Linked DNA regions of Astyanax mexicanus. The protein of the gene in region 1 interacts with the protein of each later gene in a biochemical or structural test. Links are inferred from orthologs where the notes say so. Each region holds a gene or a part of one and is shown in the gene's direction. Other genes may lie near its edges.

Region 1 (11,352 bases):
TTAAAATGCAGAGCACGGAATTTAGCACGGACTTTTAATGTGAAATAGCGTGCTTAGTGTTACGTCACCTACGCGCAGGAAGCAGGTGCAGGAGGCGGAGGTTTTTAGGTGAAGGAAATTATAAATTATTTAATTTATTACTTGTGGTATTTGTCTATTTTGCGTTGTATTTATATCTATTTGTGTTTGCAATTTGGAAATGTTTGTTGTGAATTGGTCTTTTATTATTAAGTGAAATTTCTTTTTTTTTTCTTGTGTATTTTTGATTGCTTTTTGGGCAAGCAAATATGTTTTATCTGATGACTCGATTAATCAAATTGATTTTTTTTTTAGTAGAGTACTCGATTACTAAAATAATCGATAGCTGCAGCCCCACTGACATTCAAATAAATAGCAAATACAAACTGATCTGATTTAAAGTGATTGTGAATACAGTAGCGTCCCTGACTGTTGGGAAGAAACAGCATCACTGCTACCTCCTAAAGGATCCACACATCTGACCACACATCTCCACACAGCAACAGAATCTGTGTATTATCCTGAGGGAAAAGGAGAGGTTTGGAAATGGTCATGTAAAAATGAATTATGAGAGTTTTTGGAACTTAAAACCCCACAAAGTTAGAAGTAGACTTCAGGGGGGGAATCAAAACGCAGGAGAAATATGCTGAGTAGGGACCTTTAAACTGAAATACTAGGCCACAAATTTACAGTCTGAACTCGGAGACTGTGTGTATATATGTGTGTGTGTGTTGTACAGTCAGTCACTATAGAGTTACCTCGATGACAGACTGAGGTGATGCCATCATGCATCCATGTGTAGATTAGTGCGGTTGCGGTAACATGATGACACGGAGCGTGGGCTGGAGTTTTTAATGAGCTCGGCCTCAGCGCCGCCTGGAAACGAATAAAAGAAAGAGGGAGAGGGAGATGGATGGAGGGAGCAGCCACAACTTCAAAGAGCTCTATGGATCTGACTGAGCTTACGGCCTCAGAGGGGTCCTGCTATTTCACTTACAGTCAGACACACACAGAGTTATGCGCTCGGACATTGGAACATGTAATTTTGTAAAGCTTTCGACATCAGAACAGTAGAAAAATGGATCAAATGCAATTAAAAGAAAATTAAATGATAAATAACTACTAACCACATTTTTTCTTCTAGATCAGGGGTATTCATTCCAGCTAATGGAGATCGTATGGCAGCATCGGTCATATGACCATAGAGTCTCGGTAACGGTCATGTGAAATTGGACCAAATGTGGGTAACACTTTATTTTAAGGAACACAAATTAGGCGCTTATTAATGTCTTATTATTTGCTTAATAAAGCCTTAATTAGACATTTGTAAATGATTTATTCACTACTTTTTTAGGCTTTATTCTGTGTATTCAGTGTAATTGGTGCTTAATTAGGGGTATATTATGTGGAAATGATTAATAATGACTGTATTAGTTCTTATAGAGCACAATAAACAGTTATGTTAGCGCCCTGTTTTATTAAGATTATTAAGCGTTGACTATTAGCTAATTATACATGTTATTAGTGTTCTTATAATTGGCAGCAGTTTGATCTACAGTATGTGAGTTTGGTAAGGTTATGGCTGTGCTGGAGTTTATTAAGAGTTAATAAGGGGTTAATAAGTCATTAATAGACCAAGATGTGCACCATATCCTAAAGTGAGGTTCTGTTCATCACTAATTAGACACTAAAAATTACTGAATAAATATCAATCAATTAATCAATCAATCAAATATCCTAATTAAGCACCAATAACACTTACACAGAATAAAGCCTAATAAGTAGTGAATAAATAATTTACAAATGTCTAATTAAGGCATTATTAAGCAAATAATAAGACATTAATAAGCGCCTAATTTGTGTTCCTTATCATAAAGTGCTACCCAAATGTGGTTTATACTTATACTTATAGCATACAGAGGTTTCTCGTATCATATTCAGCAACCATGGTGTTGGTGCATGCAGCTTTACCCAATTGCTATATTATACTCTGTAACCAGGGTGTTGGCACATGCAGCACTTAGGCCTAGATTCAAACCGGTGCTGGGCAACTCAGGCTAGGTGTGTAATATTTGGCCAAGAAATAGACAATATGATTTTTCATATCTGTGTGGAGATTTTATATTTAAGGCAAACTGTATTTCTTTCTTTAATCAGATCTGTTGAGATAACTGGCTGCACCGTTTTTGTTGCAAGTGATCAGATTGGATTTTTTTTGTGTCTGGACATCACAAACATATCTGCATTGGTTGCTGTGGTATCAAGGTCGGTGCGGGTCGCTGACCTTTGGTGCTCAACTTTGGTGCTATGACCTCATCAAATCAGGGTGATGGAAATGAGTGCCAACTCAAGCACGATTGTAATGAGATTTTTGAGTTTTGATAGTCTGTACAGCCAGAAAGCACATATAACACAAATTGGATACAAACCAAATTAAGCGCTTTTCCACCAAAAGAACTTTGGTTCTTGTTTTTTTTAGCGAACCAGTCTGCATTTACAACAGTTTTAGTGGAACCATCAAAATGTCACATCATACGTCATCAACAGAGGGACTTGCACAGCGACAGTGAACAGAACAGGTCATGTTTCTGAAGGCCTTGAATTACCTGGAGCAGGTGAGTGAGATGGTAGATCTCCAGGACCAGTGATGAGCAGGCCTCTCTAGTTCTCTGAAGTGTCTGATAGCCATTGTGATCCCCAGGCTGTGAAAGTGGCTCCCTCTAGTGTCTATAGTTCATTCATTAGATTTAAAAAAAATATATAAACAATAGCACAGCAAAGTAGGGCCTCAACATTCACGTTTATATTTGTGCACTAAATAAATACACTGTAACAATGTAAAAGTTAAGAAAACACAAAACTTTAAGGCAACTTAGTCCACAATTGAGTTTTAAGATCAACTTAAACTTAAACATTTAAGTTTTCAAGATAACCACAGACACTTGTGCCAACAAGAAATCTTGAAGCTAAAGTCAGCGTGTGTATAAATTAATGGATTAATAATTGAAGGATATTTTCTTCTCTTGTAAAGTTACCATTTTTGCATGGATATATATATATATATATATATATATATATATATATATATATATATATATATATATATATATATATATCCATATATATATATATATAAACTAATACTGAATATGAATAAGTGATGCTGAATACTTGTATACTTTGTATAAAGGAGAGTATAAAAATGAATTTAAACCTGTTTAAGTTTGTCAGATCTGTCCACAAACAAGGCATTAACTGTCCTGTGATATAGAATTAAAAGCTGCATGGTTTGGATGCTTCTAAACGACTGACTAACTGCTGCGATCATGCATCGTTGGCGTTTGCACTTGTTGACACCAGAGCATTTGTTCTGGACGCGTGTGAGTTAACAGCATCAGCTGGCTTCCCAGGGGTTGGATTGATTCTGTTGCCAGTCTTTCCCTGCCAACATTTGTCCTGAATAGCGTTATTCTGGGTAAAGCTATCCTAGAGATCCAGTGCAGATAAAGTAGCTGGATGGCTCTTGGGGACCCACAGACTCACAGTGTTATAGTCATGGAGAAATTATACCTGCCCCACTCTTTCCAAGAGCAACAGCACGCTGCCTGCTCGGGGTGCCAGACGCAGGCTTTTTCACTTCCCAGGTGGGTCGGTGCGTGTGAGCATCAGATTGGTCCTCTAAACACCAGCATGTGGGACTGGCCGAGCAGGAGAACAGTCTACTTTGTACTGTAAGTCATGGAGCCATTCAACCTTGAACACTTTTGGCATCAGGAGCTTCCAGAAAGGCAGTGTGGATATTTTCATAACAGCAATTTTTTTTTGTTTTTATACAAAACGAGATTAATGGGCTCTTTAAAAAGCAATGTACACTATGTGGTCCGGTAAATGAACTTAAAACTATTTGAGAAATAGTTCTTCATTGAAAAAAAAGGCTTTTTAAACTTTTTTGTTGAAGATTTTTTTTATATGTTAAGCACCAAAAACATTTCACTAATATTCCCATGGTTTATTTGAGTTGTCCTGCACCTACATTGTCTATATATATATATATATATATATATATATATATATATATATATATATATATATATATATATATATATAATCATATGTAATTAACTTACTAATTGCATGTATTATTTGCCAGGCTACAGGGAATCTACACAAATAGCTAATGTGTGCAAATATACATCATTTGAGTTCACAAAAGACAGTAAAGCCACAAACTGCCACTACAGACAAGTACAGTTAGCACTGTAATTACCTTATCTCATCAAGTGCAACAATCACTGTAATTACCTCAATCACATTGTCCTGTCACATGTTCTTAACTTTTAAGGGCGTGAATCGTGTTGTTAAGTATGTAGACACTGCAAAATCATGTACAAAATCTGTTCTCTCTCCCAAAAAAAAAAAAATCCAAAATTTATAGATTTCTGTGTATAAACAGAATGAAATAAAGAAATAATCTTCCTTTTTGTCTGAATTTCAAGAATATTTTAATAACATCCCAGTCTTACTTTTATATGTCCAATATTCCAGTAGAAAAATTAAAAGATCCCACACTTTCAGTATTCCACAGTTCATATACTTTAACCCTTGATCTCAGTCTGTCTATGTAAAATCTATTTTTATCTCTGTTTATTAATAATAGTTTTCTATATTCAGCTTGCCTACATTCACTATGCTGCCAGGCAGTGTGAGTGTGGTCATCAGATTAATGGTCTCCACCTCAGCTGTAGATCAGCGCATGTTCGGTGGTGATGGTGCCACACGGGGACTGGACACGTTCCAGGTGTTCCCCCCCAGGTGAGCTCCACCGCACTGCGTGCCTCCATGCTGGGTACTTAACCAGCATCAATATTTACCCAGCTGCAGGAAGGTGCATTAGTGTGCAGGCCGTACACACAAACCCCCAGCTGAAGCCAAGCACAGGAATAACAGCGTATTAGATTTTATATCAGCGCGAGAGGGCATTAGTGCATTTCCCTTCATTTACCCCTCCAATTTCTCTCTCTCCTCTTGATCTTGTTACTCTTAAAAACATTTGTTTTCCATTCTTTGTAAAGCATAATCTGTTATACAGTCCAATATTCCTGAGGTAATTACAGTCATGTTATATTGCTAACAAACACAGCAGCTTGGCTCAGCAAGGTTGGAGCAGGTTAGTCATGATGCTAACAGCTGGCCCTGGCCGAGTTAGACCAGGTTAACCACAATGCCAAAAGCTGGGTTTGACAGTGGTGGACCAGGTTAGCCGTGATGCTATAAACCAGGCGAGATTGAAGCAATTTCCTGTAATGTTAACATTAAATCTCTAGCCAGGTGGGAGCCCCAATGCTAACAGACTGAACAGCCACGTACAGATAATTTAGTGCAGATGAGCCACAGCCTACAGGGTTAGAGTCGTAATGCTAACAGACACAGCAGCTGGTCTAGGCAGGGCTGGAGCAGGTTCTCTGTGATGATAAAAGCTTGGCTCGTTAGCCTAGTGCACTTGTGTTACTTTGAATACTTTGGACACCTTTCGTTTAGGGCACCAGGTGTGTAGTGTGCCGTGTGTAGTGTGCAGCATGTAGGGCACTAGATGTGTAGTGTGCAGCGTGTCGGGCACCAGAGGTGTAGTGCTCATTGTGTAGGGCACTAGGTGTGTAGTGTGCACTGTGTAGGGCACTAGGTGTGTAGTATGCAGCGTGTCGGGCACCAGAGATGTAGTGCTCATTGTGTAGGGCACTAGGTGTGTAGTGTGCACTGTGTAGGGCACTAGGTGTGTAGTGTGTGGGGCACTAGGTGTGTATTGTGCAGTGAGTAGAGCACTAGTCATAGACATGTATACTGAAAATAGACATGCATACATAAACGCCGCATAGCCGGCCTCCTGGCGTATCAGCCGGCCGCCATATTGGAGGAGTCAACCACTCGCCCCTAGTTCATTTATTAGTACGGAGGAAGGTATTTAAAACACCTATAATAATCACAACTCTATCAAAGTGTACCCGATTTTTACAGGGTTTGGTTTGTTTTAAACAGCAGAGCAGAGATGTAGCTATGCTATAGGAAGCTGTTACACATTAAGAATACGTTATATACGTTTATGCTGAAATAACCTGTATTATGTTTATATGGTATACATGCTCTAGGGCGCATGGGAGACTCCTCCAATATGGCGGCCGGCTGACATGCCAGCTTCAAAAGGCGGCGTCTGTTTCGGACGTGCCTTCGTTTAGGCGTAAAACGTGTGGATGCCGTGTTTCTTCGTCATTTCCTGTGCGCGCAGTCGGTGTGGTATAGAGAAGATGGCGGAGGTCGGCGTGGTTCCGAGTGATCTATTCCCGTATGTTTACTCTTTTCTGCTCCAGAACAAGTTCAGCAAGGCGGCCCAGGAGTTTATGAAGAAGACTAAAGTGGTGAGTGCCCGGTAACCGGTCCCGTTGTGGCGCGCGGTACGTTTCTGCGAGACGGGGAGTCCGGCTGCGCGCGCGCTGTAAACACGTGTTCAGTACGGCGCGCGAGGGGCAGCGCGAGCCGATTATTGCACGGGTTACAAGCCAAAGTTACTTACTGCGCAGGTTACTGTCCGCGGTACTGCCCTGGTTACTGCCTACGGTAACTACTGCCCGGGTTACTGCTCGCGGTGCTCCGAACACAGAACCAAAGGGTGACCGATTATAACCGGTATAAGTAACGTTATATCTGTGCTAATCCTGATCAGGACTCACAGCGGTAACGTTACTGAAGAACCGGGCAGAGCAGCGTTACTGTAATAATAATACTCAACTTATTTATTACCACTTATTTTATATCCCGTCATATTATAACTAGATATTAAAATACATACTACTGAAAGTACGGTGTAATAACCTAACCAAAAACTAGTGTTCTTTGCTGAGGGAATCACTGTGCCATACAGGGTTAAAACTATGTATCTAAATACTTATTTTTAAACTTTATTTTGTTTAAACATGAAAAAGCAGGCTGTACTATTTAGAGTAAATTCAGACTGAATTTAGTGCAATTAAAGTAAGAATTACAGTTTTATGTAGAGAAGATAAACTAGCTAGAGATCTGTGAGCACGTGGTAAAGTCCACGTTTCTCCTCCAGTCATCAAACACACCAGTTCACCCACTGTTTTCTCCTCCAGTCATCACACACACCAGTTCACCCACTGTTTTTTTTAGCCACTGTTTCCATGATCTTAACTAGTAGATTGAGAACTTGTTTGTTCAGACTGATCCTGCTGGAACCGGTTCATTTAAAAGTCATTTTAATAGCTGAGAGGAAAGCAGGTTCTGGATCATAACTACATTTAATACAGGAAGAGGAGGATAATTACAACAAATTAAATACATGTTTTTTTTTCTGTAAGCACATACACACTTACTGTCGGGATTGTTAGCTTAGTTTTCTGACATTCTATCTGTACCTTCATACCATTAGTCCGTTACATCCACTGATTACTTACTGTAATAATAACCACTTGATAAATGATGTACAACAGCACCAGTGGATAGTTTTGACACACCTTCTCATTCAGTGTTTTTTATTTATTTATGATTTTCTACATTTGTAGATGAATATTAAAGACTAGAAATCAATTAAGGGACACATATGGAATTACATAGTAAATGTGGATGAGCAAGCATGTTGACTGTTTACAAATGTATTTTAGTTATTTAGAATATTTGAAAGGTATTTCAATTGAATTGCCTGGATATTCTTAATTATTAAAAGCTTATTGCTCTTTTAAAGGTATGTGTATTTTATGCTATTATGTTATCTTTACAGCAGTGTTGAAAATGACTGCTAGTTAAGCACTGTAATTCCTGGGAAATTGTTATTGTTAATTATTGTAACAGGCAATATGTACAAAAGGTAATTCATGTGAATTTGGAGCTATTAGTAAGGTAGTAGTTTGGTGTAATTATACATAAGTAATAAAGATTGTCTCAATTCAGAAACCTCAAGACGAAAATGAAGAAGGACTCCTTGACGTCTTCCAGTTCTGGGTCAAGTAAGTGAATGTTTATTACTAACCCTGTTAAAGTTACTTTGTGGGCAAAGCACTTTTAATTTTGCGATGTTGGAGGTTCGTAATTGTAACACACGTCTGTGTGTGTACGTTTAGATCTGGAGAGTCCAAAAAGCGTAAGGCCGTTACTAATGGACCTGCTGCAGTCAACGGGCCGTCTGCGAAGAAGACCAAAAGGGAGAGCTCCAGTAGTGAAGAGTCGAGCAGTGATGAGGAGGAAGCCCCAGCTGCAAAGAAAACTCCTCCAGGTAACCTATTGCTGTAATCAATCAATCAATCAATCTTTATTTTGATTCAGAAGTACATTGAGAGCAACCCTCATTTTCATTGTAGCTGAGCATCTACAGAAATGGGGATTGACATGACAAAGAAAATAATAGCTACATTTAATTATTTAAAATTACAGTAAATCTTCTCTATCCCATTATTTCCCTTCGACCACCTTTAAGCCCTATCTAAAGATGTTTTACCTTTAACTTCTATTACTTTTGGACTTGACTATTGTAAGTCGCTTTGGACAAAAGCGTCTGCCAAATATAATGTAATGTAATGTAAAATATAAAAATAGATAAAAAAATAAAATAAAAATAGTTAGAATAAAAATAAATTAATAATAATTTATTATAAAGCTTGGTTTAAGTGATACAAAATTAAGATCAAAAGAAGATAAGATTAATACAACGAAAAAATTAGTTAAAATGTGCTAAAACTGACCAATACAAAGAAAAAATAAAAAAGACTTACTTTTTCCTTAAATTAATATAGGGTCAGGTGTCATACATACAGCACACACATTTGATTTGATTCATGTTTTTTGATTAGTGTGCTGTCAAACCCGCGTGACATGGGCTCAGAAAAAGCTGCAGCCAATCAGAAACAAAATTAGGAAGACCAATAAATTCCTTTTTTTTTTAATTGATTACATATGATGTGCATTATATGTTTACCTTCCTGTTCAATTGTCTGATGCATGCATGCACAGCTGCAGCGAAGAAGCCCGCAGCTGCAGCGAAGAAGCCCGCAGCTGCAGCAGAGTCGAGCAGCAGTGAAGACTCCAGCGACTCTGAAGATGAAGCTCAGACTAAACCTCCTGTAAAGGTATGCCCTGTTTTTTTGAAAATTTATTGTGTAACAGTATGTGTGGCTTTTTTTATTATGTGTATCATATGTTTTATCATTTGGTGTTTTTAGAAGGTGGCAGCAGTGAAAGCTGCAGTGGCGTCTCCTGCTGCTGTGGCGGCGGCAGCCAGGAAGAAGGACACCAGCTCCAGCAGTGAGGAGTCCGATTCTGAGGACGAGCCTCCTAAATCTAAAGCAGCAGGTGAGTGAATGCTGTCAGTATGCTGAATAACACTGCAGGGTATCAGTAAGACTGACTGACATGTGGGTTCCAGGCTGAGAAGCAGCAAAACTCCACCAGTAAAGGGAATCCTTTCTTGCACTAATTGTAGCAAAATAAAATTTATATGCTTAGTATTACGGGTGTGTCGTACACTAGAGCTTAGATCGGGCCCAAAATATCCAGCCGAGTCTGACCTGATCCGACCCGAGCCTGTGCATGTCCTGCCAGAGCCCAACCTGAACCGACCTATACACTGTCATTATGAGCGTGAGCCTGATTTAAACCCACGTTATAGAGCGTTTAAAACTGCTAAAAAAAATAAAATAAATAAATCATTTTTTTGGGGCTGTTTGAATGAGCGAAATCTGTTTGGAATGATGTTAATTAACATTGCAACACTGAAGAAGCATAGACGCATATCTAAGAATAATGTTTATTAAGAACAGATCTCCGAAACAAAGCGAACAATGATCCAAAGGCCTAAACATCAGTAAATCAGGCTACAAGAATGATGTCTGAAGGACTTTCCTCTAGTCTAATATAGTTTAACATGGTTTAAGAATAGAAAATAATTTCTATAGCTTTTTATATTGAACTTATAGTTTAAGTGCAAAAACATAAAAAAACAAGGCTACGTACTGCACTGCAGTGTGCACAGTTTGATTTGTTAATTTGCTTTATTGGGATATCATGCCATAGCTTAATATAAAATAAAAATAGCATTAAAAAACAGACCTGTGTCAAATTGCTTTTTTGAGCCGGTGGAAAGTGGTGGGAAATCCCGAACTTGGGCCGGGCTGGGTCTCTGGTCGGGTCGGGTTTTGGGCAGAGAATCTAAGCTCTATCGTACACATGATACACAAAATTTATTTTAAAGCATTAATAAATAAGGCGTTCTTTTTTCTGTTTGAAAGCAGACTATTTTGTATTTGTTTTAAAATGTTCTTGAAGCTTTAAAGATTTTAAAGTTTTTTTTTTTTTGTGTAAAATTCTGTTTTTAAAGTTAAACAGTGACTAATAACTTAATTGAAAGAATGACTTGTGCTTTTCAGTGGCCAAGCCTGCAGCTGTGGCTCCTGCTAAAGCCGCAGCTCAGAAGAAGCAGGAGAGCAGCAGCAGTGAGGAGAGCTCCAGTGACTCTGAGGACGAACCCGCAGCTAAGGTGCTCACTGTTCCACTGATGAACGTTTCCACACACTAATGTTTAAACCCCACAGTAGCAGAATTGTTTGTGTGAGGGTGAGAGTATAAAATGCTATTTAGTCTTACATTTTATATAAATATATATTTTTTTTGATGTGCACAATGCAGCCAGTGGTAAAAGCTCCAGCTGCCCCGGTGAAAGCCCCAGCGGCCAAGGCTGCAGCTCCAGCAGACTCCAGCAGCAGCGAGGATTCATCAGATGAGGATGAGGCTCCTCCTGCAAAGAAATCCAAACCAGGTACTGTCCTCACAGCCTTCTGGTCCAGTGAAGGGAGAGATATGTACAGAAAAATAAGCTGCTTTTACATTACATCAGGGTTTGTATGATCGTGAACCCCTGGGAAAAAGTCATGAAATATGAAATAAAATAGCAATTTCCAGGCCTTGGAAAAACAAAAATACCCAGAAAGTTTTGGAAAATCATGAAAATTTGGTCTATATTTTTTTTCTATTTTATTTTAAGCTAACAAATACGTCAGCTCATTAATTTAGCCCTACACAATGGTGCTCTCGGGATCTCCCATTTTATTATTTAAAATTGTTCATTTTCATTTTATCTGATTCAGTTTAGACCTACTATAATACATTTTAGTTATAGTTTTAGTTGATATTTGGATTGGCCTTGAAATTTACTGGTTAAAAAGTTTATGACCAGCGCTCAGAAGGAGCAAAATTGGCCTTGCTCCCTCCGGGTGGGCAGATGGCGCTCTCTTCCCATATCACTTAAGGGTGATGTGGATCAGCACAAGGCTGCAT
Region 2 (11,002 bases), on another chromosome or scaffold:
AGAGAATGTATTAAATAAGAGAATGTATTACAAAGAGAGAGAAGGAAGTAAAAAGAGAATGTATTAGAAAGAGAGAGAAGACAGAGAGAAAAGAGTGAAAGCGGAATGTATAAGGAAGAGAAGAAAACAAAGAAAGGAGTGAAAAAGAGTATTTATGAGAAAGAGAGATGGAGAGAGAGAATGTATTGAATAAGAGACTGTATTACAAAGAGAGAAAACGAGAGAGAAAGGTGTGAAAAATAGAATTTATAAGAAAGAGAGAAGGAGAGAGAGAAATGAGTGAATAAGAGAATGCATTAGAAAGAAAGAGAAAAAGAAAAAAGGAGTGAAAAAGAGAATGTATCAGAAAAAGAGAGAAGGAGAGAGAGAAAAGAGTGAAAAGGAGAATTTATAAGAAAGAAAGAGAAGGAGAGAGAGAAAGGAGTGAATAGAAGAATTTATGAGAAAAAGAGGTGTAAAAAACAATGTATTAGAAAGAGAGAATTTATGAGAAAGAGGAAGGAGTGAGATAAAGGAGTCAAAAGACATGTGATGAAAAGAAAAAGATAAAATAGAAAGAGAGGGAAGAGCAGGACTGAAGGACAAAGATAGAATGTGACAATACAAAAAAAAGAAAGAAAAAAGAGCATAGAAAGAAAAAGAGATGGTGGGAGAAAGTGAAAGTGGGGAAATGAGAGGATGAGAGGAGAGAGAAGGACAGAAAATGTAAGGGAGTGAAACAAAGAAAGGATGACAGAAGGAGAACAGGTGAAACTTGTAAGGAAAGAACAGGCGAGGGATAAAAGCAGAAAGAGGGGGATGGAGAGAGAGAAAGATGGAGGAAAAAAGAAAGAGTGAGAGAAGCAGGTCTGAAGACTCATCGAGAGGCTAAATAGAGCAGATTTAGTAAAAACTGAATCCATCAGCCGGACATGCGGAACAAATGAGCTGCCCTCTCAGCAGGAGAGCCGGCCCCTTTATTTGTTCGCATTTTTAAGCTGAAGGGCGAAAGCGGAGCGGTCATCGCACCTAATGAAGTGTCCCCGAAGTTAGAAAAGAACAAAAAACACTTTCAGACCTTCTTAAAGCTCAGCGCGGCCTGCTGGGCTGAAGCTGACCCTGTAGCCGCTCATTCACCACGGGTAGAAACTCAAATGTTCAGATCAGGTCCTCATTTAAGTGTATGTTCTGTTGCTGTGGTTGAAACCCGTTTTCTTTTTGTCCAATGGTTTCCAATCCTGGTCCTAAGGAACTGTCTATATTTGGTGTTTACCTGCTGTATCTTTTCAAATCTTGGACAGGATTAGTTTCTCAGGGGGTCCTGGGGTAATTTTCTCTTTTATGTGGGGTCCTCTGTGACTTTATTCCCATCTGGAACGACCATGTACGTCTTTAATTTTCTCAGACGTCCTTTGAGAAAATTACAGGCTGAATTATCTACTGTTTTTCGCTAAACTCTGTGATCCTCCGGTAATTTTAGTCCCATCTGGATGCTCTGATTTCCGACACCTCACGTTTAAAAAATAACTATTTGTCCACTGCCACACACTGTAATTACACTTCGGGCATGCGTTTCCATGGAGATCCACATAAACACAACAGTGAGTGGAAATGGAGGAGCTACTGAACGAGATGTCATGACCAAGAAACTCAATATTCCTCCTGTTTTTTTTTTTTCAATTGCAGTCCGGATGCAAGAGTTTTATCACGGAGTGGAAGTGTGAAATAATTTTCACAGACGTCCCCCTGAGAAAATAATCCCATCCGGATAGGGCTTTAGAAAGAATAGCTGTAGAACTCTTCAGTACCTCAGCTGTTGTGGAACCAGGCTTAGAGCTCCAGAATTCTTCTTATAGTTCGATATGTTATATGTTTGGGAACCTTGGTGGAGTTTCCTTTTACAGATTATACCTGATCTTGAAAGATTTGTTCAGGATCTTCAGTGGAAACTCCAAAAGTCCAAAACTAGTTCTTCATAAGCTTCCAGAACAGAAGTGGGCACAGGTCTACAGTTCCAGAACTCTAGTTTTTCATTGGTTTCAAGATCTCTAGTTCTTCATAGGCTTCCAGAACCTTGGTGGAACCTTCCAGAACCTCCATACGCTTCAAAATCTGAGTGGAAACTTTAGTTCCTTTTAATATGCTGAAACATTGGTGGAAACTGAGTTGAAACAGATCAACATTTTGAGAACTCTAGAGCTTTAGAAGCCTCTACAATCGCACTGGAAACAGACCTAAAGATGGGTTTCCAATACTCTAGTTCTTCATAGGCTTCTAGAAGCTTGGTGGAACCTTCCAGAACACTCTACTTAAGTAGAGTTTCCACTAAAACCTGAAGACTAGACTTCTGCAACTGATTTCTGAACCTTTTAAGAAAAAGTACAATTCTGGTACTGTAGACCTGAAGTTCCAGAAGCTAACATAGTTATGAACTGTAAAGTTTTCACAAAGGTTCTGGAACTGTATGCGAGTTTCCATCAAGGTTTTGTAAGAACTGTGGTACACTGTCCATGAAATTCTAAAAGAACAGGCGTTGTCTTATTACAGCTCCTTCTCCAAATGTTCCTCCAGGTGGTCTTCAGAGAGAGTCCGTCAGGTAGCGTGATGGATTCAGGGACAGATGCTGAAGCACCTGCTCGCTTAGGCCTGTGACGGGGAGGGGCAGGTCCAGAAGCACTTTTTAAACATGAAGCTCTAAACTCCAGTTGGTATTTACTGCCACCTCCTGCCACGCGCCTATTTACCACCTAACGGGTGGCGGAGAAAGACTGAGCGCCGACACACACGTCCCCGGAGGACAATAATTACCTATTACCTCCCTCTCAGATAAAAACACACACACAAAGACACATTAAACTACTATTTTTGCCCCTTGCTTGCCAGGCACTGCGTTTCGTCCCAATCCCCATGCTTGTAGGCTTCGTCTACAATTCAATTGCATGCTCTCTCGCCCTCTTTCTCGCCATTCCCCTCTCATCTAATTGTGTAGAAGCAAGAGCCTGGAATAAAATGAACCACACTCATTCATAAGATTAATAAAATGTCAAATGAACTGTCCAGTTACTTTTGATTTCCAAACATTTGTTCTAAGGGCAACTGTCCATCTCATTCAGCTGCAACTCAGCTGTATATATCCACTATCACTAGTAATGCCACCACACAAGAAGGGTGAAGTTTAGCATATGCCTCCTCCTGCTGTGATGCAGCATTGCCAAGTAGCATCACAGCGCTAACGCTCGGAGGAAAACGCAGCTACTTGGTTCTAATACATCAGCTCACAGTTGTCTTGTGCTGATCGACATCACCCTTGGAATGATAAAAGAAAAAAGGGGCCATCTACCCACCCAGAGAGAGCAAAGCCAAATGTGCTCTCTCAGGGCTCTGGCAGCTGATGGCAAGCTGCATGGTCGGGATTCAAACCAGTAATTTCCCGATCAAAGTGACAGCGCGGTCTAAAGTTTTACGTAGCATCTTCGTTTACATTCCAGATATGAAACAAGTCTTAATTGGCTTATAGACTGCACCTTGAGTAAAAATTAATTATGTTATATCGATTTTTCACCACCATACTGATCAACACTTATTGAGTATTAAAAAGGGCTATTGAAATTCACAAACAGCTGATTTTTTTTTGGCTCTTTTTAGGTGCTAGAAATGAAATTAACACACAAAGTCTGAAGCTGTTTTCCATACGTACCCCACACAGCCCTGTAACAGACCCTGACAGATTATACCCACCACAGAGTTACACACAAAAAAACCTTTTACTGGGAGAAACAATGAGGCCCTGAATTTTAACAACTGTTGCCTTGAGTTATTTTCCTTTCGTGTGGCCACTTCTGCCAGCCGGTGCTACGCTAACCCAAACAGAGGCTGGCATTTTGTGATGGTGTGAATGGGTAAAAGCCAGCCTTTTCACTCACGTCCTAACAAAACACAATCCGGGGGAACAACGTCTGAAGCGCCTATATGAGGAAATTGCTTTCTATATATCTAAAGTGCAGGTTATAGGCAAGAAATATAAGGGGGGGAAAGAAAGAAAGTATTATGGCCTAGCGGAGGCCGCGGGAAGCCGTTTTTCCTTTCATTTCAGAGCAGCTAGGTCCAATTTCACAGCCTGTGCGAGAGAGGGAGTGGGAAAAAAGCAGGTGAAATCGATTGCGTAGATTGCAGCTGTGTTTTATTGGACTCCTTTTGTGTCATTTTACAGTGTCAGGCAGTGGTAGAATGGATTTGCTGTCGGCGCAGGGCTGATAAAACTGAGCCGAGGACAAGAGCCACAGTTTTAAATGGGAGCGCCCATCTGTTAAAGTGTATTGTGAAAGGGACGAGATTTCTACACGATTAAACAACAAAGCTGTCACACAAATTTCCATTTAGATACTTTTTGTGAGTGTGTTTATTATTATTTTTTTGTATAGTTAGGAACAACTACTATACACAAGTCCAACATTACTTAAACAAATTCTTCATTCATTTATTTCCTTTACAAGTTAACACAGCCCAATAGTGAATAGGGAATTTGTTTAAGAAATGCTATCTTGCTATCTTACACCCTGTTATTTTGCCTCAAAATAAAATCTAATTGTCTAATTGGATGGAGGACACCCAAATGTTTTTTTTTTCTCAAAACCTCTTATGAATAAGTAACTGCTATTTCATTTTTTTGAGATAGTAAGTCATTATTTTGAAAGAAAAAAAAACTTTTTTCCTAAAGCAAACACACTTGCTATCTCAAACTAATGACTTATAATCTCAAAATAATTAGATAGCATCTCAAAATAATGACTTACTATCCTAGAAATAATAAATTAGTATTTCAAAATCATGGCGTGCTATCTCAAAATAATGAATTAGTATCTCAAAATAATGACTTACTCTTCTAAAATTATGAATTAGTATCTCAAAATAATGACTTATTATCTTAAAATAATGAAAAAGTATCAAAAAATTATGACTAATTATCACAAAATAATGACATATCTCAAAATAATGACTTACCATCTCAAAGTAATCAATTAGTATCTTAAAATAATGAATTAGAATCTCAAAATACTGAATTAGTATTTAAAAATAATGATTACTATCTCAAAATAATGACAGTATTACAAAATAATAAATTAGTATCTAAAAATAATGACTTACTATCTCAAAATAAAGAATTAGTATCTCAAAATAATAAATTAATGTCTCAAAATAATGACTTACTATCTCAAAATAATGAATTAGTATCTCAAAATAATGAATTAGTGTCCCAAATGAATGAATTAGTATCTCAGAAAATAAATTAGTCTCAAATTAATGAATTAGTCTCAAATTAATGAATTAGTATCTCAGAAAATGAATTAGAATCTCAAAATAATGACTTACTATCTCAAAAGAATGAATTAGAATCTCAAAATAATGACCTGCTATCTCAAAATAATGAGATAGCTTCAATAACCTGATATATGCTGACTGCTGCAGGTTTAATTAAGCAGGACCTGCTGCTGTATGTAGCCTGCTCGTGACATCGCCTTGGCTGCACCCCGTCAAATTATGAATGCCGCTTAATCCGATTGGTTGCTGGGGGGCCTCCGGAGACGCTGATTGGCTGTGGCTTGTTTCCGGGGCTCAGATTCACCGGTGACGTTTTTTCTCTCAGCATTGAGACAGACGGGGCGAGAATGGCTGCCGGTGGAGGTTAGAGCTTTGCGATTGTTTTTCTCTTCACCATTTAAAGTTATTTAGGAAAGTTTGCGGGTTTGTTCGGGCGCGGTGGGTTAGTGAAGGCCCTCGCCTGTCGGTCGGGGCTGTTTGCGGTTGAGGGGGTTGTTTTTAAGGCGGTGAAGGAGGAGATTGTTTGTGTGTTAGCCCGGAAAGTGCGGACTGGTGGATAGCGTTAGCATTAGCGTTAGCATTAGCTTGGGCTCTTAGCGGCCGGTTAGCAAGTGTGTAAACATTAATGTGGGTGTCGATAAAAAGTCGTTATTTTAGGATATAAGTAGTATTTAGACGGAGGGCCTGCTTCTTAATATTTAATACGAATTTTATTTAATTTATTGACGTGTTTTAAGAGCGTATTTTGGTGGGTTTTGAAGTAAATGGTCTTCGTTAGCAAGCCTAGCTAATGCTAAAGTTCCTACAGGTTTTTGTATCTAGCGTTAACTATTCAAGTAACTTAGTTAGCTTAGTTGTCATTTAAATGCAGCAATTAGCTTAGCTGCCACCCCCTGGAGGGTTGTTTTTTGGAGCTGTTGGTCAGAAGCATTGAACACTGCCACAGTTTACTAACTATTTAGCTAACTTTTATTTTAGCAGTTTTCGACTGTTGAATGACTGCTGGGTTTGGAGTAGCTGTTGTTTGGAGCTCGGTCTGGTGTTCAGTTTTTGGTCAGGGGGTTCAATTCTCGGTCTGGGTGACTGCTGTTCTGTGTCACTAAGATTCCTTGGAAAAGACTCACAGCTAACAAACTTAGTATCTCAAAATAATGACTTACTATTTCAAAGTAATGAATTGGTATGTCAAGATAATGACTTACTATCTCAAAATAATGAGGGAGTATTTCAAATTAATTACTTACTATCTTAAAAGCTGGGGTTCAATTCCTGACTGTGGTTCAATTCCCAGTCTGGGTGACTCTGTGACTATGCTGTGTAGGGGTGGGCAATATTATATCGTATACAATATATCGTAACACAGAAATATCATGATATTAAAGATCCATATTGTGATAATAGGGCTGTTCTGTCTTAAAAGTAGTCTATTATTTACTGTGAAGCTTTAGGTGTATTTATTGTATAATTGTTTTAGTTGCAGTTTATATGCATGCACTAAATATTCTGCAATATTATTTGCTGCATTATATTATTTTATGCTATATTATTTATTTTGCCACATTATGATTATTCTGTTATACTATTATACTATATTCCTGAAATTAATTAATTATTTTTCTGTTTTCCTATATCGCCAAGTATATCGTTATTAGAGGTGTGCCAAAAAATCGATTCACATAAGAATCTTGATTCTCATTTACTACGATTCAGAATCGATTTAAAATGTCCCAAAATCGATTCTGAGGGGCGGGTTTTAGACTGATTTTGGGCTGGGTATTTTTGTTGGACCTGGCAACCCTGGGGATAGGGCTTGTCCCTTCAAACGGAGATCTTCCAGACACACACAGAGCGTAGGTGTTTGAGAATCACCGGTAAGATGGCAGAACAAGCACTATATTACCTTAGATTAACGTGTAGTTTCAATGTTTTATGGCAGAATGCTTCATAACAAGCATAAAAAAGATCGCTAGTAGTTAGTTTCAGTAACTGTTAGCTAGCTAACTAGCTAACTTTCCAGTTCCACCTTAAATAACGCTACAGGTGGCAGCGGGCTGCAGCATTTAAGGCGGAACGGAAAAATAACAATAAGCTAATCAGAGCTAATTTCAGCTCCTCATCACAGAGGAATTAAGGAATGGACAATATGAATTAATTTCTCCACCTCCTGCCCCCTTTCTGAAGAAATACAACGACCTTAAAGTTAACTAGTTAATCAGCAGCTGCTCCTGAACTTTAGCGCTTCACTGCTATCATCACATCAGCCCAGCAGCGTCACCTACACACCACCGCTAGTAGCCTGGTAATAAAGCAGTGTTATTTATTATTTATTTATTGTTCATTAACGTCATTGTGATATCCCAGTGATTTCTCTGTCACTGAGGACCCACATTCCTGCACATTTTATTGTTTTTGTAACACATTACTTGCTCCAGGACCAGTGTATATTATGGAGGGTTTTTTTTCAATAAGATTCATAAGCCAGAAGCAGAATTTTTTATAATTCAAATCGTTTTGAATCAAAAATCGATTTTGAATCGAATCGTGGCCCCCAAAATCGGAATCGAATCGAATCGTGAGATAGTAAACGATTCCCACCCCTAATCGTTATCTCAAAAATACCCTGAAATATCGTGATATTATTTTAGAGCCATATCGCCCACCCCTAATGCTGTGCTACACCAATAAGAGTCTTAAGGCAAGACTCATAGCTTACAAACATACTCAAACATCTCAAAATAGTGTATAACTATTTTAAAATAATGATTTAGTATCTCAAAATAATTAATTACTATCTCAAATTCTAGGGTTTAATTCCCGGTCTGGGGTTCAATTCCTGGTCTGGGGTTCAATTCCCGTATGTTGTGCTACACCAAAAAGAGTCCTTAGGCAAGACTCGTAGCTAATACTACATTGGCTCACTTCTATCATAGAAATAATGTTGTAAGTCGCTCTGGATAAGAGCGTCAGCTAAATGCCGTACATATAATTGTAAATTATAGTTCCCTTTTTGTCAGACTGGTTCATTTGCCTGTAAAGTGCCTTCTTAGTCATTTTAACTTATTTAGTCCTTGAGCGACACACATTGAAGGACAATGTGAATGTGTATTTGTTATTTAGGACCAGAATGTAGGTCTGCTTAGTCATTGAGATAAACCTACTGTATCTCATGCTTTTAAAGGACTCTTCCAACGCTTTAACTAAATGTTGTCTTGTGCCCACAATAAGAAAAAAAACATGAATGAGCTGCTCATTGAATTTGTCTAAATCCGTTTTGAGTTTGGCTTAATGTTGTCCATTTCTGACGTTTTAATTGACTCACTTGCTATGAAAGCGGCTACCAGCTGCTTGGTTTTAACGAGATAAACAGCTGAGCAATAAGAACACTACTGACTCAGTGTTCAGTGGTCTATTTTTGCCACTAAACCTCTCAGAAATATCCACAATTCACAATATATCTCAAACACAGAATTATCTGGGATTTACTTGCTACACCACTCATTTAACGGAATGTCATGAATTAGTCTGACACTGTTCAAACGGCCATGAACACTGAGGGAAATAATTGTACATTTTACTTTAGATTTAGATTTAGAAAGTGACCCAAATTTGAAATGCTTCGGTAGTATACAGTTAAAGCAAAAGTTCCTAACAAATGAGTACAACAAATTGCATTTTTTTTCTTGGTTAATGTCCATCACTTTGTTCTACAGGTGTGCAGCCAAGTAATGGAAAGGCTTGAAACAACCAAGCTGATGGCAAATAGCTGATGGTCTTGATAACCCAGGCTAGTGGTTCCTGTGTGTAGTCTGTTTGTCAGTCATGTTTGGCCTATTTGAGCATGTTGAATTGACATGGGTGGTCTTATATGATGATTAAAATAGAGAAGCATGGACTGTTGATCACAGGCTTGGATCAGAACTCAGTTCTGCTGATCTGCCACAGCTGGGCCTTGAGGCAAGGCCATATTCTGCTGTGCAATAGGTTGTAGAAGGCAATGGTGTTCATATACTATATATATATATATATACATATATATGGTTGGAGATTTTGTAATCCCTTTTTTGAAACATGATTGTCTAATTTTGACCTAAATTTCTTGTATTTTTGGTCAGTTCTGGGGCTTGTCTTGCAGGTCTAAAATTTCTAAAACACACTTTTCTATTCCCTGTTCCCATCGCAGATGTTGGAAAGCTGTTACAAGTACAGAACGGGACTCCTGCAAGCACAAGCTACAACGGAGTAGACGCCCTGCATGCCTGCACCATCCTCCAGCAGCTCAAAGCCCTGTACGACGAAGCGCAGCTGACAGACATCGTCGTGGAGGTGGATCATGGCAAGACCTTCTCCTGTCACAGAAATGTGCTTGCTGCCATCAGCCCTTATTTCAGGTAGAATGTACAGTAAGAGAAAGCACAGCCACTGTACATAATCAAACATACTTTTTAAAAATATTATTATTCATGTTGCCTGTGCAAGTGTTTGGGCACCTTAGATTCGTTACTGAATTTTTTCACTATAAGGCACACTTAAAACTTTTAATTTTCCCAAAAATGTCAGTGCATCTTATAATCTGGTGTGCCTTATGTATGATTTTTACCAGTCTCAGGTTGTGAGGAGCGCTACAGCCACTCCGCTGAAATGTCTCGAGCAGTATTAGCATTAGCCGTTCAGAGTTGAGTATTCTCGGCCTGTAGCCTGCTGCTGACCCTGGCTAGCACTTCTGGAGCAGAATTAGCTTTACCCGCTAACGGTGCCTGCGGTAAGCCGCTAATGCTCTAGCTTTAGTGGAAATCTGGAAATCTAAGCTTACTGTACATAAACAGAAGTGCTTTACTAACCAAAATAAACAGTTTTCAGGAAAGAAATCTGTGTGGATTAACTTTTAGCACTCATTTGACTTGTTTGACTCTTAAGAATTACAGCTTTGTTTACTTAACTTAGTTTGTTTAACTTACTTAGCTTAGTTTTACAGGTTTACAGGCCTGCTAAATTAGAAGGAAAATATGGCTACAGCCCTGTTTCATACCAATGTCTCATAAAATACGCCTTATCCTGTGTGCTTTATAGTGCAAAAAATATGGTATTTGATCATTTCCTTGAATCATTTATATAGCAGATACAAGCTGCACGTCTTATGACTCTTTCGGTTGGATTTTCACCACTCTTACTTGCAAAAGACCTCTTGTTCTCAGATGTTCTTGGGGTTTCTCACATGCGCCGCTTGTGTGAGGTCTGTGCATAAATTTCATATGATATCTAGGCCAGAAACCTTTAAGTGCAACCCAGAAGCTTCAGTTTGGGTCTTCTTAGGTAGTCCATGAACGACATCTTGCTTGGTGTTTGGTGGAATTTGGTGGAATCAGTTTATTCTTCTAGCTGTAAAGGTCATGAAGCTACTAGCATTCTAGCTGTTCTTTTTTTGTTAGCTACAGTTTCTCTTCCAAAACCTTTTCATGTCTCCTCCACAATGGTTGTTTATGCAAGCAATGCTAAAAGCAGTGCACCATCACTTTTGACCTTGTTAAACTTTAATGCTGGTTTTAGCACTTATATGAAGGTTTTGCTTTTGCCTTACTTAGCAGAGAATTTTTTCTTGATTTACCAAATCCAGTTACTTTCAACAGCCAGTTCAAATTCTCGGCTGCCCCTTTTTTACGTACCAATTTAACTGGTCATATTGCTGAACAACATCACTACCGTCTGT

The links. The genes of interacting proteins can lie anywhere in the genome.
Region 2: the proteins of nolc1 (region 1) and kbtbd8 form a complex in vitro, tested with the Homo sapiens proteins (2 studies listed by BioGRID). The link is inferred for Astyanax mexicanus from reciprocal best matches to the Homo sapiens genes NOLC1 and KBTBD8.

Annotation. Positions count from the first base shown.
Region 1 is NC_064414.1:4,016,231-4,027,582, reverse strand, and holds the start of nolc1 (nucleolar and coiled-body phosphoprotein 1), read left to right. Parts: upstream 1-6,270; 5' UTR 6,271-6,317; coding exon 6,318-6,428; intron 6,429-7,977; coding exon 7,978-8,033; intron 8,034-8,147; coding exon 8,148-8,299; intron 8,300-9,033; coding exon 9,034-9,149; intron 9,150-9,242; coding exon 9,243-9,372; intron 9,373-10,445; coding exon 10,446-10,555; intron 10,556-10,704; coding exon 10,705-10,834; intron 10,835-11,352. UniProt on the Homo sapiens protein: Nucleolar protein that acts as a regulator of RNA polymerase I by connecting RNA polymerase I with enzymes responsible for ribosomal processing and modification.
Region 2 is NC_064431.1:27,106,294-27,117,295, forward strand, and holds the start of kbtbd8 (kelch repeat and BTB domain-containing protein 8), read left to right. Parts: upstream 1-5,597; 5' UTR 5,598-5,645; coding exon 5,646-5,661; intron 5,662-9,478; coding exon 9,479-9,686; intron 9,687-11,002. UniProt on the Homo sapiens protein: Substrate-specific adapter of a BCR (BTB-CUL3-RBX1) E3 ubiquitin ligase complex that acts as a regulator of neural crest specification.